Linked DNA regions of Callithrix jacchus. The protein of the gene in region 1 purifies or fractionates together with the protein of each later gene. This does not show direct contact. Links are inferred from orthologs where the notes say so. Each region holds a gene or a part of one and is shown in the gene's direction. Other genes may lie near its edges.

Region 1 (9,947 bases):
TTATTGCACAGAAAGTCAAGTTGCTGGAGAAACTGGACAGCAGCGTAGGTGTGAAATGTCCTACAGAAGAGTATGGTGTTGGCATGAACACCATAGATGACCTGAAGAAACAGAAGGATAAACTGGTGAAGTTCGATACTGAATATGATGAACAGAAGTTAATGAAAAACAGAAAATGCATAAAGCGTGAAAAATGAAGATCTCGACTGTGTATTGAAAGAATAGATCCAGAGGCTGGGCACGGTGGCTCACGCCTATAATCCCAGCACTTTGGGAGGCCAAGGTGGGCGGATCACGAGGTCAGCAGTTCCAGACCAGCCTGGCCAATATGGCGAAACCCCATTTCTACTAAAAATGTAAAAATTAGCCGGGCGAGATGGCACACACCTGTAATCCCAGCTACTTGGGGAACTGAGGCAGGAGAATCGCTTGAACCTGGGAGGCGGATGTTGTAGTGAGCAGACATTGTGCCACTGCACTCTAGCATGGGCAACAGAGTGAGACTCCATCTCAAAAAAAAAAAAAAGAGTAAATCCATTTGGCTGGGCACAATGGCTTACACCTGTAGTCCCAGCACTTTGGGAGGCCAAGGTGGGCAGATCACTTGAGGTCAGGAGTTCGAGACCAGCCTGACCAACATGGTGAAACCCCATCTCTGCTAAAAATACAAAAATTAGCCAGGCATGATGGCAGGTGCCTATAATCCCAGCTACTTGGGAAGCTGAAGCAGGAGAATTGCTTGAACCTGGAGGTTCAGTGAGTTGAGATCCTGCCACTGCACTCCAGCCTGGGCGACAGAGCAAGACTTCATTTCAAAAAATAAAAAAAGAGTAGATCCATTAGCATTGCACTGATGGATCTATCCAACATCATACTGGCATACTGAAGGCAACGAGCAAGATCTATCACGATTAATTGAAGGAAACTAAATATTCAACAGGCTGGTTGCAGAATTTTTTGGGGTGTGGGGACAGGGTCTCACTCTATCACCCAGGCTGGAATGCAGTAGTGTAAATGTGGCTCACTGTAGACTCAGCCTCCTAGGCTCGAGTGATCCTCCCACCTCAGCCTCCCAAAGGAGCTGGGAACACACACACACACACACCCCCATCATGCAGGGTCTTGCCATGTTGCCCAGGCTGGTCTTGAACTCCTAGGCTCAAGCCAACCTTCCCATTTTGGCCTCCCAAACTGCTACCGGTATGAGCCACTGCACCTGGCTGGTTGCAGAAATTTAAGAAGAGACATGACATTACATTTATAAACATTTATAGGCCAGGCACGGTGGCTCATGCCTATAATCCCAGCACTTTGGGAGGTTAGGGTGGGAGGATTACTTGAGGTCAGGAGTTGGAGACCAGCCTGGCCAACATGTCAAAACCCTGTCTCTACTTAAAAACAAAACAAAACAAAAGTTAGCCAGGCATGGTGGTGGACGCCTTTACAGGGAGTCCACCTTGGACTTTGGGAGGCCAAGGTAGGTGGATCACTTGAGGTCAGGAGTTGGAGACCAGCCTGACCAATAGGGTGAAACCCTGTCTCTACTAAAAATACAAAAATTAGCCGGGCCTGGTTGTGCATGCCTGTAATCCCAGCTACTCGGGAGGCTGAGGCAGGAGAATTGCTTGAACCTGGGAGGCAGAGGTTTTAGTGAGCTGCAATCATGCCACTGCACTCCAGCCTGGGTGACAGAGAGAGACTTTGTCTCAAAAAAAAAAAAAAAAGAAAAGAAAATGCATGATGGGCTTATTGAAGGACAAGAGAAGTATGCATTCCTAACAAAATGATAAACCATGTCTAAGGTAAAAACCACTGGTAATGAGGCAGATAAGCCCTGGCATGGCGGTTCATGCCAGTAATCCCAGTACTGAAAGGCTGAGGTGGGAGAATCGCATGAGTCCAGGAGTTGGAGACCAGCCTGGGCAACATGGAAAGATCCCATCTCTACACAAAATTTTAAAAATTAGCTGGGCTTGGTGGCGTGCACCTGTGGTCCTAGCTACGTGGGAGGCTGAGGTGGGAGGATCATGTGACCCCAGGAGGTCGTGTCTGCAGTGAGCCATGATCACACCACTGCAGTTCTGCCTGGGCAACAGAGCAAGACCCTGCCTCAATAAAAAAGGGCGGATGACTCTGGAGGAAATATTTTAAAAAGCCATCCAAGAGAATGCCTCCTTTTCCCTAGGGGGACCCACTTCCTGCTCCCTCCAACTGCTCCTGATGTTTCTTCTCAACCTAAAAAAAATACAGTGTACAGTAACCTTTTGATCAAAACCCTGCATCGTAAGTGGAGACTGAAAGCCTGCCATTTGTGGTTGCTGTTTTTTGTTTTTATTTTTTGAGACAGGGTCTCAGTCACCCAGGCTGGAGTGCAGTGGTGTGATCTCGGCTCACTGCAAGCTTCCTCTCCCTGGTTCAAGCGATTCTCCTGCCTCAGCCTCCCGAGTAGCTGGGATTACAGGCGTGCACCACCAGGCCCGGCTAATTTTTATATTTTTAGTAGAGACTGGGTTTCACCCTGTTGATCAGGCTGGTCTCAAACTCCTGACCTCTACTGATCCACATGCCTTGGCCTCCCAGAGTGCTGGGATTACAGGTGTGAGCCACGGTACCTGGTCTGGTGTTGGTGGGGAAGGGTCACCATTGTTTTACAGCTGATCCAGGTTTTCTGGTGATGCTCCTCTGCTGCTTAGTTACCCTGAACTTCTTCACTGTATTAATGACATAACATATATTTTGCTGTTAAGTACTTATGTATGAATAAGCATAATAAATTATTGCTTATTAGTAGCATATATATTTAGAGTCTGGAACAATGGTTATGCCAACCAACCAGAGTGTCCACAAGGGTGGCTGATAGTAACACCTTTGCTTTCTCATGGTTCAAGGTACACAAACTTTCTTAAAATATTGTATAAAATTACCTTCAGGGTATGTGTATAAGTTATGTATAGAACATAAATTAATTTATTGTTCAGAGTTGGGCCCCATCCCCAAGATATTTCATTATGTTTATACAAATATTCTAAAATCCAGAAAAATCCCAAATCCAAAAAAGTCTGGTCCCAGCGTTTTCAGATTAGGAATACTCACCCTGTAGTAATTTGCCCAAGGTCACATAGCTACTAGCTGGTCGAGACGGGGCCACATCTGCCTGTCTTCAAGCTCGGGACTCTTAAGCCACCATTCTGTTCCGTTTGCATAAATTCTATTTGTGCCAGGCGTGGTGGCTCACGCCTGTAATCCCAGCACTTTGGGAGGCCAAGGCAAGTGGATCGTTTGAGGTCAGGAGCTTGAGACCAGCCTGACCAACATGGTGAAACCCCATCTCTACTAAAAAAAAAAAAAAAAAAAAAAATTAGACGGGTGTGGTGGTGCACACCTGTAGTCCCAGCTACTTGGGAGGCTGAGGCAGGAGAATCGCTTGAACCCGGAAGGCAAGAGGTCGCAGTGAGTCGAGATCACACCACTGCACTCCAGCCAGGGCAGAGCGAGACTCTGTCTCAATCAATCAATTGTACGGGTTTACATTGTTACAGAATAAATTTGCATCATTATTTGCATGATTGATTTAATGTAGTTTTGGCAGTCTCAATACACAAGGACCACCAGCTCCTGACACTGGGAAGAGAGAACGTCCTCGAGGTCCGGAAACTCAAGAACTTGCTGATTCAGGGAGCTTTCAAAAACTATTTTTGGAAAACCCAGATCCAGGTCTTCAGCCGGCTTCACCTGCAGTTCTAGCACTACCCACAAGGGGGAAGCCGACGCTGCACTGCGCTGCCAAATGTGCCTCTCTTCCTCTTCATCTCTGTGGTTAGCCTGGGAAAAGAACCCGCCTCCTAGCCCATGAGGCCCTGGGCCGGAGGCTCTACTTTCTCTTCCTGTTCTCCATCATGGCGGTGAGTAGCTGGGAGTTGGATTTGCTTTTCTTGATCCGCCTCCATCCATGGCAGGCCGAGTCTGCGGGGGCTACCTCGCCCGCAGCCCGAAGAGTATGGAGCCCGCAATGCTTGCCAGCCCAAGGCTGGCAGAGCCGTTAGGGCCAAGGACGCAGGGTTGAAGCCTATCAAGCCCCCTGCCACCGTTCTAGGAGCTGTTCCGGGCAGTTAGTCGGAGAGCTCAGAAGCACAGCTACTAGGCTGCGGCGAAGGCATATGGGGTGAATAGGGGGTTCTAAGGCAGGGCGTTCGGGGCTTTTCCTGGTCCCAGGCACTTGAGATTACTCGGTGCTGGGAAACTTTAACCGGTTCCTCCGCTTAGGGAAGGCGCCAACCTTCAGACAGCTTCCGAAAGGGATTCAGGACGTTGCGTAACCACGTGCTTCCTGTTAACTCCGCAATTACCTTCTGTTCCCTCACTTAACTCCCTTTAGTTGGTCTTACAGTGGGGGCACTCTTTGTTACCCTGAGCCTCTTAGGGTTCGATCTCGAGTATCCTGAGTTTCTCTTCACCCGTTCCTTTCGTGGAGGAAGAATGGGTCCGGAGCTGACTTCCTTGATGCCTCCCAAACACGTTGATGCCCTTTAAACGTTTAGGATTTTCGTTACGATTTGGGATGAGCAGAAATTAAAATGCTAGGCAGATAGAAGTAGAAACTCAGGGCTGTCAGCTGTGAGTGTATTGACTGCTGCTCTTCCCTGTTGCAGCAGGATCAAGGTGAAAAGGAGAACCCCATGCGGGAACTTCGCATCCGCAAGCTCTGTCTCAACATCTGTGTTGGGGAGAGTGGAGACAGACTGACCCGAGCTGCCAAGGTGTTGGAACAGCTCACAGGGCAGACCCCTGTGTTTTCCAAAGGTGAGTAGTGACAAGGACATACAGGGCTGGCCACTCGGTCACCTGGTTATTTTTTAATTTACTTGCTTTAGAGTCTGTTTAGAAAGTGACAGTTCGCATCACTTACAGCATTGAACTCATGAGCCAACCAAGAAGTGTCTTTCAAGATTGGGTGTGGGATTGGAACATTGGATTTTATATGAGCAGATCTTAAGCTAAGACTAGCCCAAGTAACCAGGATATGAGATAGAGTGGAGTTGTCAGGAATGAAGTAAAGATGATTAGGTTTGATTTGCAGTTAGGGTTATATAGGCTGCAAAAAGAACAGGGCATCTCAAAAGTTATATACTGGGCTGGGTGCGGCAGTGGCTCAAGCCTGTAATCCAAGCACTTTGGGAGGCCAAGGCGGGTGGATCAAGAGATCGAGACCATCCTGGTCAACATGTTGAAACCCCGTCTCTACTAAAAATACAAAAAATTAGCCGGGCATGGTGGCGCGTGCCTGTGATCCCAGCTACTCAGGAGGCTGAGGCAGGAGAATTGCTTGAACCCAGGAGGCGGAAGTTGTGGTGAGCCGAGATCACGCCATTGCACTCCAGCCTGGGTAACAAGAGTGAAACTCCCTCTCGAAAGAAAAAAAAAGTTGTATACCTAGATTGCCTGGATTTGAGTGATGGCTTCGCTCTCTGAGCTCTCTGGACCTCTGCCTTTTTATTTCCATGAAGAGGGTAATTCTTTATAATTGTGGAAGGTAAAATGAATTGTATGTGTGCAGTTGCCTTAGGGCAGTGAAATATGGAAAGCCTTTGGATTCAGCCTTTGATTTCATTACCAGCTGTGATGTTTGGCAAGTTAATAAACTTCTCAAAACTTAACCTGCTGAAGGATGGCTGGATGTCTGGAAATTGGAAAATCTGTGCTGTGGATGAAATCTTATTAATAGATGTAGGCAACACTAATTAGAACACCACAACATAGAGTGCGGAGGAGTACATAATGTCTCTGAGCCATGGAGATAGTGTTCTGGGAAAGAGGTGAGTGTAGTGGGGGTATGATGGCATCTGACTCCTTGTTACCCCCTTTCTGCAGCTAGATACACTGTCAGATCCTTTGGCATCCGGAGAAATGAAAAGATTGCTGTCCACTGCACAGTTCGAGGGGCCAAGGCAGAAGAAATCTTGGAGAAGGGTTTAAAGGTGAGGCTGATCCCGTAATGGAGTGATATTGATCAGCACCCCCTTAGTAACATGTAGATAAGTTACATTTAATGTTCTGTTCTTTGGTGCCTTGATATTTATTAACCTTCTAAAAGGGTTTTTCTGCAATCATCAGGGTTAACTATTCTTGGTGGTTTAAAAGATGCTTGGGGCCAGACACAATGACTCAGCTCTATAATCCCAGCACCAGCTGAGAGCCACGTGGATCACTTGAGGCCAGGAGTTTGAGACCATCCTGGCCAATGTGGTGAAACCCCGTCTCTGTTAAAAATATAAAAATTGGCCAAGCTTGGTGATGGACACCTATAGTCCCGGCTACTCGGGAGGCTGGGGCATGAGGATTGCTTGAACCTGGGATGTAGAGGCAGAGGTTGCAGTGAGCTGAGATCGTGCCACTGCGTTCCAGCCTAGGCCACAGAATGAGACTTTTGTCTTAAAAAAAAAAAAAGATGTGCGGGGTGTGGTGACTCACGCCTGCAATCCCAGCACTTTGAGAGGCCGAGACGGGCAGATCATGAGGTCAAGAGATCGAGACCATCTGGCAAACATGGTGAAACCCTGTCTCTTCTAAAAATACAAAAATTAGCTGGGCATGGTGGCTCATGCTTGTAGTCCCAGCTACTTGGGAGGCTGAGGCAGGAGAATTGCTTGAACCCAGGAGGCGGAGGTTGAAGTGAGCCAAGATTGCGCCACTGCCCTCCAGCCTGGCGACAGAGCAAGACTCTGTCTCAAAAAAAAAAAAAAAAAAAAGATGCTTGGGAGTCATTTCATGCCTCTGCTTTCTCTGGGTTTTTCTCGGCCTTTTGGAAGCTGGGAGAGGTCATATTGGATAGTTGGGGTGTGAATCCGTAGTCTGGGTGTAGTGAAGAAGTTAGATTATGCTCCCAGCCAAGTTTCATCAGCCTTTGTTTTTGCTTTGGGGTGCATATTGCAGGTTGAGCTATTTGGGCATTTGGGGGTGGGAGGGTGTTGAAGATGATAAGGAATGTTGTTATTGCTGCATTTTGCTCCGCAGGTGCGGGAGTATGAGTTAAGAAAAAACAACTTCTCCGATACTGGAAACTTTGGTTTTGGGATTCAGGAACACATTGATCTCGGTATCAAATATGACCCAAGCATTGGTATCTACGGCCTGGACTTCTATGTGGTATGAATATTTAATTTTTTCCAGCTCCAGGTCTGTGAGGAGAGGGGAATCTTTATTTCATATGTGGTATGTTGGTGTTCACATGTTGGGTTGCAGCTTTGAGTATTGTTTGCCTTTGTGCTCTCCCCCTTGGGAAAATGTGCCTCGTTTGTGGCAAGTGTAGGGGTGCAGCACTGAAGAAGATGCACAAGATCCCTGCTGTTGGGGAGCTTGCAGTCGAGGATCTATAAAGCATTCAAATGGCTTAAAGGTGGATGAAGGAAACTGTTCCATCCAGCCAGTGATTTGAAACTTTGGAGAGAGGCAGTATTGGTGCTGCGTTTGGCCTGTGGGTTGCCTGCACTGAGGCTGTTTTTTCCCCTGGTTCGTCCAATAGAAACAGCTTTGGGTGATGCAGTGGTTTGCTCAGGAATGGGGTTTTAACATAGAAATGACCTTTTGTGTTACTGCAGTATTATAGTCTAGCAGTAAAACTGAATAGCCTAAATCAGAAGTTATGAGTAGCGTGGAACCTGGAAAATGCTGGCACCCTCATTAGACTTGAACGCCCAAACAAGTAATAAGAATTGGATACTCACAGGAGGTTGGAGGGACAGCACACCTTTGGGAAGCACATTTGAGCTGAAGCAGAAGGAAGAAAATATATGTTTGTGCTTCTTGGAGTTTTATGTTTTCTACACTGCTGGTGTGGCAATAGATTTATAAATGTTATTTTTAAAAAGAAAAGTTTCGGAGATTAGGGAGCAGTAATGAAGGTTCCTCAGCACCATTGGAAGATGGTTTTGGGGAGGGGGGTGCTGAGAGTTGCAGCCTCCAAAGCAAACCTCTATAGTATGGCCGTGTGTTGTGTGAGATGCTGGTGCCGGTTCTGTCAGACACAGATTGTGGGTCTTGCTCCAGAATTCATTGAACTGCCAGTGACTCTTGAAGATCTGTCTGCAATGTGTGAATCTTGTCCATCTGCTCTTGACTCTGAGCTGGCTAGGTGACTTTTGGTTATTCCTGGGACAGGTGCTGGGTAGGCCAGGTTTCAGCATCGCAGACAAGAAGCGCAGGACAGGCTGCATTGGGGCCAAACACAGAATCAGCAAAGAGGAGGCCATGCGCTGGTTCCAGCAGAAGGTAAAGCTGATTTCTCTCAAGTGAAGTGGTGGAATGTGCTGTTGGTGAATGGAGTTGGGATTTGGGAATGCAAAGTATAGTACGGTTTGGTGGGTATCTTTAAAGTTAGAGTATTGGGCACCTTTGCAAATCAGGGGCTTCCAGGGATGATGGTTTAAAAGAACATCCAGAACTAGGCCTTCTCCCACCTAAATGGGGGTAGTTGGAAGGGGAGGAATACAGCTTTAAAAAAGGACCCCCCTTTCTTAGATGATAGGGCAGTTCAGCACAGTGTAAAAACCAGCCAGCTTCCTATTTAGTCCAGAAAAGGATGGGATTCAGACTGAAAGTTCATGTATCAATCAGATTTAAATTCTCAAATGTTAGCCATTGCTGCAATCTCTGCTGTTGCCTCCTGTTCTGAAAAAAATTAAATCTCTTCTCTTTCAGTATGATGGGATCATCCTTCCTGGCAAATAAATTCCCGTTTCTGTCCAAAAGGCCAATCAATAAAAAGTTTTCAGTGAAATGTACAGTTCTGTTGTGTGTTCTGTGAAAGGATCCTGGCCATATTCAAGTCCTTGGACCTCAAGCCACTTAAAGCTTCGATGGGAGTAGCTGGTAACAACCCTGTCGTCCTCTGGTTGGATGCCAGTACTTCCTGGCAGATCAAGTCCAAGCTTCGTAGCATTGCCTGTGCTCGCCACACCTTGGTTGATGCACCGTGGTACAGTAGCCCCATTTAGAGGGGAGGGTATGGTTGATGTTGGGGGTTTGAATTTAGAGCCTCCATTAAAGGCAGGGTGCAGTGCTCCTGTGTTCAGGAGGGTCCCCCCATTCAGTGATTCTGTTGTGTACTAGAAATTTTGTCAGCATTGATGTTTTATGAAGAAATCACAGGCTTTGGTGTAATGGTTAAGATTAAATTTAGACTTAACTGTTCAGGCTCAGGTTTTTTTTTTTACGAGAATATAAGGTTGGAAGGCAGTATATGTAGATAAGAGGGCAGTCTTTCTATTTCCAGCCCTGCCCTTGGGTGAACTGCTAATCTGCCTCAGTTTCCATATCTGTATCCTGGAGGCAATAACGGTGGTATCTCAGGATTACATGATTTAATACTTAACAAAATGCTCAGACTAGTATCAGGCATGTAGTGCTCAAAAGGAGTTTAGTTTTTGTGTTGGTGTATATGAGAAATGCTACTTTTGCTCATTCACTTCCCTTTGGTGCAAAATGGAAATATTTTGCCTGTAGTGATTTTCTGTATCTCACCGAAGCTGACACTGGAAAGCCATCTTTTTTTTTTTTTGTTAAAGAGACAGAGTCTTGCTCTGATGACCAGGCTGGAGTGTGCAGTGGCACAATCTCTGCAACCACTGCCCTGGGTTCAAGCAGTCCTCTCACCTCAGCCTCTCGAGTAGCTAGGATTTGAGGCATCCACCAACACACCCAGCTAATTTTTTTTTCTTTGTATTTTTAGTAGAGGTGAGGTTTTACCATGTTGGCCAGGCTGTTTTCAAACTTGTGACCTCAAGTGATAACGCCCTCCTCAACCTCCCAAAGTGTTGGGATTACAGGCATGAGCCACTGTGCCTGGCAAAAGCTATTATATTTCTGACACAATACTTGGCCATTGGTTCATCATTTTCAGTTTTGGGTTTAAATTTTTGAGCACATGTTAGTTCAATAATTTATGAATTTGT
Region 2 (10,117 bases), on another chromosome or scaffold:
AGGTGGTTTCATCAGCTTTTGCCTCTACCGCGGGGGTGACTACACCCGGAGTCAGGGAAGGCACTGCAAGGGCGAGGGCCTGAGGCCAGGACCCCCAATTCATGAGCCCTGGGGCAACGCTCTCCGCCCTTTCCAGTTGGGTCCGCTGGGCAGGGTGGCAGCGCACTGCCGGCTCAGATGGCGTCGGGGATGGGAACGGTCCCGGTCCCCGAAGCAAACGGACCGGGATTGTTCTGTGCGCGCTTGGCGCGGGGGAAACCGCCGCGCGTTACTGGGCGGGCGGAGACCGGAGACCCCGCCCCGTCGGAGGCCTCCGGGCTCCTCCCCGACCCGCCTTCCCTCCGCCTGTTCCCGCCCAGGAGAAGGTCGCCATCCGTCCATCTGCCGCGCCGCCCGCGCAGCTGCGCTCGGGTTCCCGTTAGTCAGCGGGTTGGAGCCGTCCAGCTTCCCCCGTCCGGAAGGCCCGCGGCGCGGGTGACGGGGGTACTCTTGCCGCCGCCCCGCACCCACCCCTGCCAGAAGCCAGAACAACTGCAGTGCCCTTCCCCAAACAGCCCCTACGGCCTCCTCCGGGAAGCCGGCCGGGACCTCCCCTCTGGGCCCGCAGAGACCCTTCCCTTCGAGCCATCACTCTGGGCCCGAAGCCCTGGCAGTGATCCTCCCTCAGGGCAGGAGGCTCTGACAGATCCGATATGGCCCGAGTCTCCGTAGCTGCTGTGTGTCAAAGCCAAGAACCGGAAACCTGCTCTGTCCGCCCTCCCCAACCCGGCATCCCCGGCTGCCTGGCCCGGCAGAGAAAGTAGCAAACACCAGCGACGCCTGCGTCTTTACTCAGGTCGCACAGCCTCCTCCTTCCCAGCTACGGCCATCCCTCCCTCTGGGGTGCGCAGGTCTCTTCCAGGCTTCCCTGCTTCCATGCTCACCAGCCCCTTTCACGTAGGTGCCGGAGGGATCGTTTTAAAAACCAACCACAGGCCGGGCACGGTGCCTCACGCCTGTAACCTCAGCATTTTGTGAGGCCGAGGTGGGCGGATCACCTGAGATCAGGAGTTCAAGACAAGCCTGCCCAACATGGTGAAACCCATCTCTTTATACTAAAGAGAAAAATCAGCCAGGTCTGGTGGCTCATGCCTGTAGTCCCAGCTACTCAGAGGCTGAGGAGGCAGAGGCCGTGGTGAACTGAGATCGCACCACTGCACTCCAGCCTGGACAACAGAGAGAGACTCCCTCTAACAAGATAAATTTAAAAATAGGATGGGCGCGGTGGCTCACACCCGTAATCCCAGCACTTTGGGAGGCTGAGGTGGGTGGATCACCTGTCGTCAAGAGTTCGAGACCAACCTGGCCAACATGGTGAAACCCCATCTCAAATCTCTGCTTCTACTAAAAATACAAAACTTAGCCAGGGATGGTGGCTCACACCTGTAACTTCAGCTACTCAGGAGGCTGAGGCAGAATCGCTTGAACCAGGGAGGTGGAGGTTGCGGTGAGCCAAGACTGCACCACTGCTCCGGCCTGGGTGACAGAGCGAGACTCCATCTCAAAAATAATAATAAAAGTAGTAAAAGGCCAGGCACAGTGGCTCACGCCTGTAATCCCAGCATTCTGGGAGGCTGAGGCAGGCAGATCACGAGGTCAGGAGTTTGAGACCAGTCTGGCCAATATGGTGAAACCCTGTCTCTACTAAAAATACAAAAGTAGCTGGGTGTGGTGGTGCACTCCTATAACCACAGCTACTCGGGAGGCTGAGGCAGGAGAATCGCTTGAACCAGGGAGGTGGAGATTGCCATGAGCCGAGATTGTGCCATCGTACTCCAGCCTGAACAAAAAGAGTGGAACTCCCTCTCAAAAAAAAAAAAAATTAGCCAGGTGTGGTGGTGGACGTCTGTAATCCCAGGTACCTGGGTTGGCGGGGAGGCTGAGGCAGAAGAATCACTTGAACCTGGGAGGTGGAAGTTGCAGTGAGCTGAGACCTCAGATCACACCACTGTACTCCAGCCTGGGTGACAGAGCGAGACTCCCGTCTGCAAAAAAAAAAAAAAAAAAATCCACTTGTAGGTCACAGTGGCTCACACCAGTAATCCTACCACTTTGAGCCACCAAGGCAGGAGGACTGCTTAAGGCCAGAAGTTTGAGACCAGCCTGAGAAACACAACAAGGCTCCATCTCTACAAAAGATTAAATTACAGGCCAGGCACAGTGGCACAGGCTGTAATCCCAGCACTGTGGGAGGCCGAGACGGGTGGATCACCTGAGGTCAGGAGTTGGAGAGCAGCCTGGATGACATGGCAAGATCCTGTCTCAAAAAAATATATATATACATGTAAAAATTATAAAAAATAAAAATTGACTTGTAATTGCTGCTCATCCAAGTGTAAATTCTGGGCAGCCTGCATCTGTGCTCCCAGGTCGCAATCCTCAAGCCTGGCCCACGTAAACATCTCTCTACTTACATTAGACTTTGGGACTTCCATTTAGGTAGATACTTGAAATTTGAAAATAAGCTGCATGAAAGAGACCAGACAAAAAGCAAAATACCGTATGATTTCACTCTTATCTGAAGGGTGTTCTCGTCAGAATCATGGGAACGGAAAGTAGAATGGTGGTTATCAAGGGCTGGGGGAGCAGGGAACAGGAATTTAATGGGTACAGAGTTTGTTTGGGATAAAAAAAAAAAAGTGAGAAGGGGCCAGGCACAGTGGCTTGTGCCTGTTATTCCAGCACTTTGGGAGGCTAAGGCGGGCAGATCACCTGAGGTCAGGAGGTTAAGACCAGACTAGACAACATGGTGAAACCCTGTCTCTACTAAAAATACAAAAATTAGGCAGGTGTGGTGGTAGATGCTTGTAGGCCCAGCTACTAGGGAGGCTGAGGCAGGCAAACTGCTTGAACCCTGGAGGCGGAGGTTGCAGTGAGCAAAGATCACGCCACTGCACTCCAGCTTGGACAATAGTGAGACTACTCAAAAAAAAAAAAAAAAAAAAGTTGGTATGGACGGTGGCACACCAATGTGAAGGGACCGGCTTAAGACACTGAATGGCTTCCCTTTGTAATTACATAAGTCCCATGCTGGCCAGGCATGGTGGCTCACACCTGTAACCCCAGCACTTTAGGAGGCCCAGGTGGGAGGATCACTTGAGCCCAATGTTGGGCAACCTCGTCTCTACCAAAAACACAAAAAATGTTGGCCGGGTGTGGTGGCTGAGGTGGGAGGACTACCTGAACGGCAGTTGAGGCTGCAGTGAGCTGTGATCGAGCCACTGCACTCCAGCCTGGGCGACAGAATGGGGCCCCGTCTCAAAAATTAAAAAATCCCATTGTTCCCAAGGTGGTTTCCCGCCTTTACCCCAGATGTGTGACTCTGAGCAAGAAAACCTTTCTGTACCCAACTTCCTCATCTACAAAGGGGTAATGAGGCCACTGAAGGCGACTGTGAAGTTCGAGTTCCAGTGCTTGATGGAACAAACCCCACTGTTGTTTGAGCTCCACTCGAGCTGGCGCTGCCTGCGTGGCACCTCAGGTATCCGCATCTGACCCCGGATATTGGCAGGGTCGGCTCCTTTTCATATTTTAGCTCAAGGACACTGCCATGTGCAAGCTTTCTCAGGCTGCCCAGACCAATTCCCTCTCTGTCCCTGTCCCTCGGATCGCTTCCTTCATTCGCTTCCTGTGTCCTCGCACACGAACTCAGTCCTTAGGAGGCAGGGCCAACCCTGTTCCCTCCCAGGACCCCAGGGTGTAGCAGGGTCCCTGATGCGCTGAGGTCCACATGGACACCGAGGTCAGTTCTGGGCCGAAGCGGCCGGCGCAGGGGCTGCCTACGCCTCCCAGGGGTGCGTGGCGACGCCGCCTCACGACATTCTCCTGGCCTCGCATGGCGGGGGCGGCCTCCCAGGTGGGGAGGCCGAGGCGCTGGCTCACCTCACTGAGCCCGGCTGGACATGGGACAACGGGTCGCCGCGGCCTGGGAATCACCAAAGATTCGGGGCGAGCTTATGGCCAGCAGCCTCTGCCCGGGCCCACGTGCAGTTCCGCGTAGGGCGGTGGCGCAGGCCACTTCCGGAAGCGGTGTACCATGGGACTTGTGGTTCGGGGGCAAAGGATACGTCCCCGGCGTGGGGGCCGCGCTGCATGTTGGGAGCTGTAGGCGTCGTGTGGCATGATGGGAGCCCCCGGTACAGAAGACAGATGCCGTCCCCTTGGGCTTGCTTGGCCCATCGCCCCACGAGTTTTGGGGGACATTCGCCCCACGCTATAAGAGCAGCCAGTTTCGGAACTACTACCCTTCGCCTTTGCCGCAGAAACTGCCTGAGAGAATAGGGAAGCGGGTGGGGGGGGGGTCAATGGTTTCTCCGTCGTCGTCATTGGCTGAGCGCCTCTTGACGTCACTCTTATGCGCCTCATGCGTCGCCGCGCGTGGGTCCCAGAGGCTTCTGGGTAGCGGTTTACCCCCGCCCCTTGCGTTGGCGCCTTCCTTTTCCTCCCTGACGCCGCCGAGTTCGCACGCGTGAGGCCGCCGCCGCTGCAGACGCCGCCGCGTGAGTGTGGGGGCCGGGCCCGGGGTGCGGGCTGGGGCTGGGGATGCGGGGCCGTTGGGCTGCGGGGGTGGGCGGCGGGCTGCGGGGCGGGGTTTTTCTGCGGCAGAGGCCTACGGGCCCAGCCACGCGCAACCTCGCCCGGGGCCCCGGGGTGGGCAGGCTGGAGGCCGCCGGGGTAACTCCGCCGTGGCGCCCTCTCCGTCCGCCTCAGGATGCGCTACGTCGCCTCCTACCTGCTGGCTGCCCTCGGGGGCAACCCTTCCCCGAGCGCCAAGGACATCAAGAAGATCCTGGACAGCGTCGGCATCGAGGCGGACGACGACCGGCTCAACAAGGTAGCTGCCGCCCCTGCCCCGCAGCCGTCGCGTGGCGCGTGGCCCGTACCGGGGGGGTCCTTCGGCCTGATCCGGCCTCATGCTGGAGGGTCCGGGGAGCGGCTGGTGCCAGTCCAGTTGGTGATTTATTGGGTAGAGAAGTAACCAGGGCGGGGGCCGGACGCGGTGCCTCAGGCCGGTAATCCCTGCACTCTGGGAGGCCGAGGCGGGCGGATCACCCGAGGTCAGGAGGGGTTCGAGACCATCCTGGTGAAACCCCCATCTCTACTAAAATGCAAACGTTAATCGGGTGTGGTGGTGGGCGCTTGTGATCCCAGCTGCTTGGCCGGCTGAGGCAGGAGACTCCAGCCGGGGTGATGGAGCAAGACTGTCTCAAAAGGAAAAAAAAGAAAAAAAAAAAAAGCAAGGCGGGTATGAGGCAAGGTCGGGACTAACGAGCTTTGGAAATTCAATACAGGTGAGATGCATGAGATTGCTTAAAAAACAGGCAGGCCGGGTGCGTGGCTCCCCCAGCACTTCGGGGGCCAATGCGGGTGGCTTATTGGAGCTCAGGCGTTCCACGCTAGCCTGGAAAACATCTCAAGACCGGGCCTCCTCGAAAGGTTAAAAAGAAGAAATTTCTATACTCAGAACCAACAATTAGAAATTAGTCAATGGTTCGAATCTGTAGCCCCAGTTATTCAGGAGGCTGAGGCGGGAGGATCATTGGAGTCTGGGAGGTCCAGGCTGCAGTGAGTAGTGATCACGCTACTGCAGTCCCACAGAGCCAGGTGCGGTGGCTCATCCTGCAGTCCCAGGCTGATGGAAGACTCACTTGAGGCCGGGATCCCATCAGTGCACTCCAGCCTGAAGTCAAAGCCAGTTTCAGTGCTGCCTTATTTTGCCCACGTTTAAGACAGATATGAATAGTCAGCGTATGCGGTGAGATGGTGTGTCCTCTCAGCGTTGAGTCTGAGAATGCTGCATTCCGTTTATCGTTGCACCACTTAACCAGCAAGGCTGGTGGCTCCCTTAGGGCAGCGCAGGTCCAGAAACTCCAGCGCGTATTCCCACGTGGTGTACCCAGTCCTGCTGTGACTCTGGAAGGGATCGGTAAGGCCAGGGCTGCAGTTGCACATTTCTCGTAGCAGCTGGGCGATTGTCTTCTCCAGGTTATCAGCGAGCTGAACGGAAAGAACATTGAGGACGTGATTGCCCAGGGTGAGTTTCTCTAGAGATGTTCGTTTTCATGGTCCATCCTAATCCCTGCTGGTCAGCCTGTGGCCTGCCAGGTTTCGCTTGTGGACCAGAGCACCCTAGAAGCCTCACCCAAGGAGTGAGCAGGGCTTCAGTGGGCTCACGGCATGGGCGCTTCTAGACACGCCAGGCGCAGGGCAGCAGGGGCACATGCTCTTACTGGACTTTCAGGTGGCCCTGAGGCCGTTTCCTAGGATTCCTCCGAAGCTTGGGATCTGGAGAACTGGGTTCACGTAAACGGTTCCACCCCGTGCTTTCTGTGAAGGGGTTGCCGGTGGGGACTAGGTGCCAGGGGTGACCACAGGCTTCTTGCCTCTTGGGCAGATGGTTTTCTGTTAACATCAGCTGAGCTGGTGGGACTTGTTTGGAAGTTGAGCTGTTGGGACAGCTGTTGCTGTCCTCTGCATATGACCAGGACAGGGCCAGCTCAGGAAACGGGCCAAGCCATGAGCACATCGCTGTGGCTGGAGATCTGGACGCTGTGGCAGCTTATTCATTCCCTACCTGCCCATAAACATGTTTGTCCAGTGGACCTCGGAGGGTGGAGGTGGGGAAAGTGGGGAGGTGGGCAGTGTCGCCTGATTCCTAGAAGGCGAGTCCCTGGGTAGGAAAGGTAGGAAAGAGAAGTCCCTGACAGTGAATGTTGAGGAGTGGCTGGGAAGGGAGGGTTCTGGAAGAACGGGAGGCACTGGAACCATATGGTGGGGCCCAGGTATGTTGGGCACTCTGTGCCATGCCTGGTTCCATCTAGCTTGTGTGTGGAACAGCCTCCCAGGCTGGGCAGCTGCTCTGATCTCGGCTTCTCTCTGTTTTCTGTAGGTATTGGCAAGCTTGCCAGCGTACCTGCTGGTGGGGCTGTGGCCATCTCTGCTGCCCCAGGCTCTGCAGCTCCTGCTGCTGGTTCCGCCCCCGCTGCCGGTAAGTGGGGGGCTTGGTGAGTGGGCAGAGGGCTGAGGCTCAGACTGTTGCTGTCGTGGGGTCTTCACTACTGTGGGAACTGGCCTGGCACTCGGGCAGTGCTCACCATGCTCTCTTTTCCACAGCAGAGGAGAAGAAAGATGAGAAGAAGGAGGAGTCTGAAGAATCAGACGATGACATGGGATTTGGCCTCTTTGATTAAACTGCTGCTCCCTTGCAAATAAAGCCTTTTTACACGTCTCTCAAGTATCCCATGAGCAGTTTGTCACAAGGTCGCCTGAGCACAGGTTCCCATCACGGGCGGCAGGTGTGCGGCACAAGCGTGGGTCACGCGGTTTTGGGGAAGGGTCTCTGGTGCAGGATGAGCAGGGGCTGGGGGGGCTGGGCATCACAGCTGCCAGGGGCCCATTCCTGTGGGCCTTAAACAGTGTCCAGGCTCCTGAGTACACCCGGAAAATTGCTAACAGGCTGGGCACAGTAGCTCGTGCCCATAATCCCAGCACTTGGGAGGCCGAAGAGGGAAGGTCACTTGAGGCAGGAGTTTGAGACCAACCATCTCTAAAAAACTAACCGGGCTTGGTGGTGTGTACCTGCAGTCCCAACTGTGAGAAGTTGAGGGGAAAGGGTCACTTGCCCAGGAGGTTGGAGTTACAGTGGGCCGGCATGGTGCCGCGGCACTCCGGCCGAGCTGCAGAAACACTGCTGTGGAACGGCAGAGAAGCTGATCTGAAACGGAGTCTGGGTAATCAGGGCTCTGTCCTTGTGTGGCTTGGTGCCCAGCCTTGCAAGGCCAGGATTGGTAGCCCCGGGCTTCACAAATGGATGCAGGAAGGGAGCCCAGCTTGGGGGCGGCAGCGCCTCTGGCTTCCCCTGCGGGGTCATGGCTCTGCCGTAATGCCCTGAGCACCTTGGGCAATCACTTAGTTCCTCCGGGCTTGTTTTTCTGCTGTTCCTGAGCCAACCCCTGCCTTACTGGGCAGATGTGCTCAGGGCTTGTGGGCCGTGACCACAGAGCCACGTGCCCACCGAACTGAGTCCTTTGGGGTAGGCCTGCCCTCCCCCCACAGGCTGTGGCCTAGAATATGGGGCTAAGGACAGAGGCCATCACCGTCCCCTCTCAGCCTCTCTGCCCTCCTGGCCCTACTCTGTACAAACTCTCCTGGGCCTCAGAGTCTTTGCCCACCAGTGTAGGCACCCCAGGAGATGATCTGCCCCTTCTACCCCGGGCTTGGGAGCAGCAGCCCATGGACTGGCTTTGGTGTGTGCACCTGCTACGTGAGCACTTCAGTTCTGGGAGGGTAAATGGGATCTAACAAGACAGCTGGAGTGGCTGGAGGTGCCTCCCTCAGATGGGGAGCCAAGACCTGGAGGAAGGCAGAGTCCCCAGAGGGGAGGGAATGGGGGTTGTGGGGGGAGCCAGGGAGCCACAGAGGGTCCTGAAATGGAGGGGGACCCAAAATGCTTTTATTTTTGAGATCAAGTTTCACTCTTGTTGCCCAGGCTGGCATGCAAAGGCACAGTCTTGGCTCACTGCAACCTCTGCCGCCCAGGTTCAAGTGATTCTACTGCCTCAGCCTCCCAAGTGGCTGGGATTACAGGTGCCTGCCACCACTCCTGGCTAGTTTTTTGTGTTTTTAGTAGAGGTGAGGTTTTGAACTCCTGACCTCAGGTGATCCGCCCATCTCAGCCTCCCAAAGTGCTGGGATCACAGGCGTGAGCCACCATGTCCAGCCCCAAAATGCTTTTAAAACATTCCATCTCAGGACCTTCTCCATGAGTTGCTGATCCCAAACCCAAGGTGGAAGGGGCAGGCCATCTCCTGGGGTACCTGTATTCCCAGCACTTGGGGAGGCCCAGGCAGGTGGATCACCTGAGGTCACGGGATCAGGACGAGCCTGGCTAGGGTGCCAAAAACCCCATCTCCATTAAAAATACAAAAATCTCACGCCTGTAATGCCAGCACTTTGGGAGGCTGAGGCGGGTGGATCACGAGGTCGAGAGGTTGAGACCATCCCGGTCAACATGGTGAAACCCCGTCTCTACTAAAAATACAAAAAATTAGCTGTGCATGGTGGTGCGTGCCTGTAATCCCAGCTACTCAGGAGGCTGAGGCAGGAGAATTGCCTGAACCCAGGAGGCGGAGGTTGTGGTGAGCTGAGATTGCGCCATTGCACTCCAGCCTGGGTGACAAGAGCGAAACTCCATCTCAAAAAAAAAAAATTTTTCCCCCGCAGATCATGACATATTTTCCAGAGATGCCTTTTTTTTTTTCTTTTTGAGATGGAGAGTCTTGCTCCAACCTCCTCCCAAGTAGCAGGAATTAACAGGCATGTGCACCGCGGCTGGCTAATTTTTGTACCTGGGATTACAGACACGCACCACTGTACCTGGCAAATTTTTTGTGTGTTTTTGGTAGAGACGGGGTTTCACGATGTTGGCCAGGCTGGTCTCAAACCCCTGACCTCAGGTGATCCACCCACCTCGGCCTCCCAAAGTGCTCAGATTATGGGTGTGAGCCACCGTCCCTGGCCTGGCTAGTGTGCAGTGGCTCAATCTCTGCTCACTGCAACCTCTGCCGCCCAGGTTCAAGCAAATCTCATGCCTCAGTTTCTCAAGTAGCTAGAATTACAGGCATGCACCACCACACCCCACTAATTTTTGTATTTTTTAGTAGAGACCAGGTTTCACCATGTTGACCAGGTTGGTCTCAAACTCCTGGCCTCAAATGATCCACCTGCCTCAGCCTCCCAAAGTGGTGGGATTACAGGCGTGAGCCACTGAGACCGCCTTACGTGTGTGTGTGTGTGTGTGTGTGTGTGTGTATTTTTTTGAGATAGCGTTTCACTCTTGTTGCCCAGGTTGGAGTGCAGTGGTGTGACCTTGGCTCACAGCAACCTCCACCTCCCGGGTTCAAGTGATTCTCCTGCCTCAGCCTCCTGAGTAGCTGAGATTACAGGCACCTTCCACCCTGCACAGCTGATGTTTGATGTTTTGTATTTAGTAGAGATAAGGTTTCACCGAGTTGATCAGACCCGTCTGGAACTCCTGACCTCAGGTGATCGACCCACCTCAGCCTCCCAAAGTGCTGGG

Evidence for each region.
Region 2: the proteins of RPL11 (region 1) and RPLP2 purify together in Homo sapiens (affinity purification with mass spectrometry; 4 studies listed by BioGRID and IntAct, with this or other methods). This does not show direct contact. The link is inferred for Callithrix jacchus from reciprocal best matches to the Homo sapiens genes RPL11 and RPLP2.

Annotation. Positions count from the first base shown.
Region 1 is NC_133508.1:60,427,459-60,437,405, forward strand, and holds RPL11 (large ribosomal subunit protein uL5), read left to right. Parts: upstream 1-3,873; 5' UTR 3,874-3,896; coding exon 3,897-3,902; intron 3,903-4,649; coding exon 4,650-4,800; intron 4,801-5,868; coding exon 5,869-5,975; intron 5,976-7,011; coding exon 7,012-7,143; intron 7,144-8,154; coding exon 8,155-8,265; intron 8,266-8,694; coding exon 8,695-8,724; 3' UTR 8,725-8,773; downstream 8,774-9,947.
Region 2 is NC_133511.1:131,091,157-131,101,273, reverse strand, and holds RPLP2 (large ribosomal subunit protein P2), read left to right. Parts: upstream 1-4,473; 5' UTR 4,474-4,538; intron 4,539-4,749; 5' UTR 4,750-4,750; coding exon 4,751-4,873; intron 4,874-6,003; coding exon 6,004-6,073; intron 6,074-6,102; exon of another isoform or gene 6,103-6,236; intron 6,237-6,928; coding exon 6,929-7,027; intron 7,028-7,152; coding exon 7,153-7,229; 3' UTR 7,230-7,267; downstream 7,268-10,117. UniProt on the Homo sapiens protein: Plays an important role in the elongation step of protein synthesis.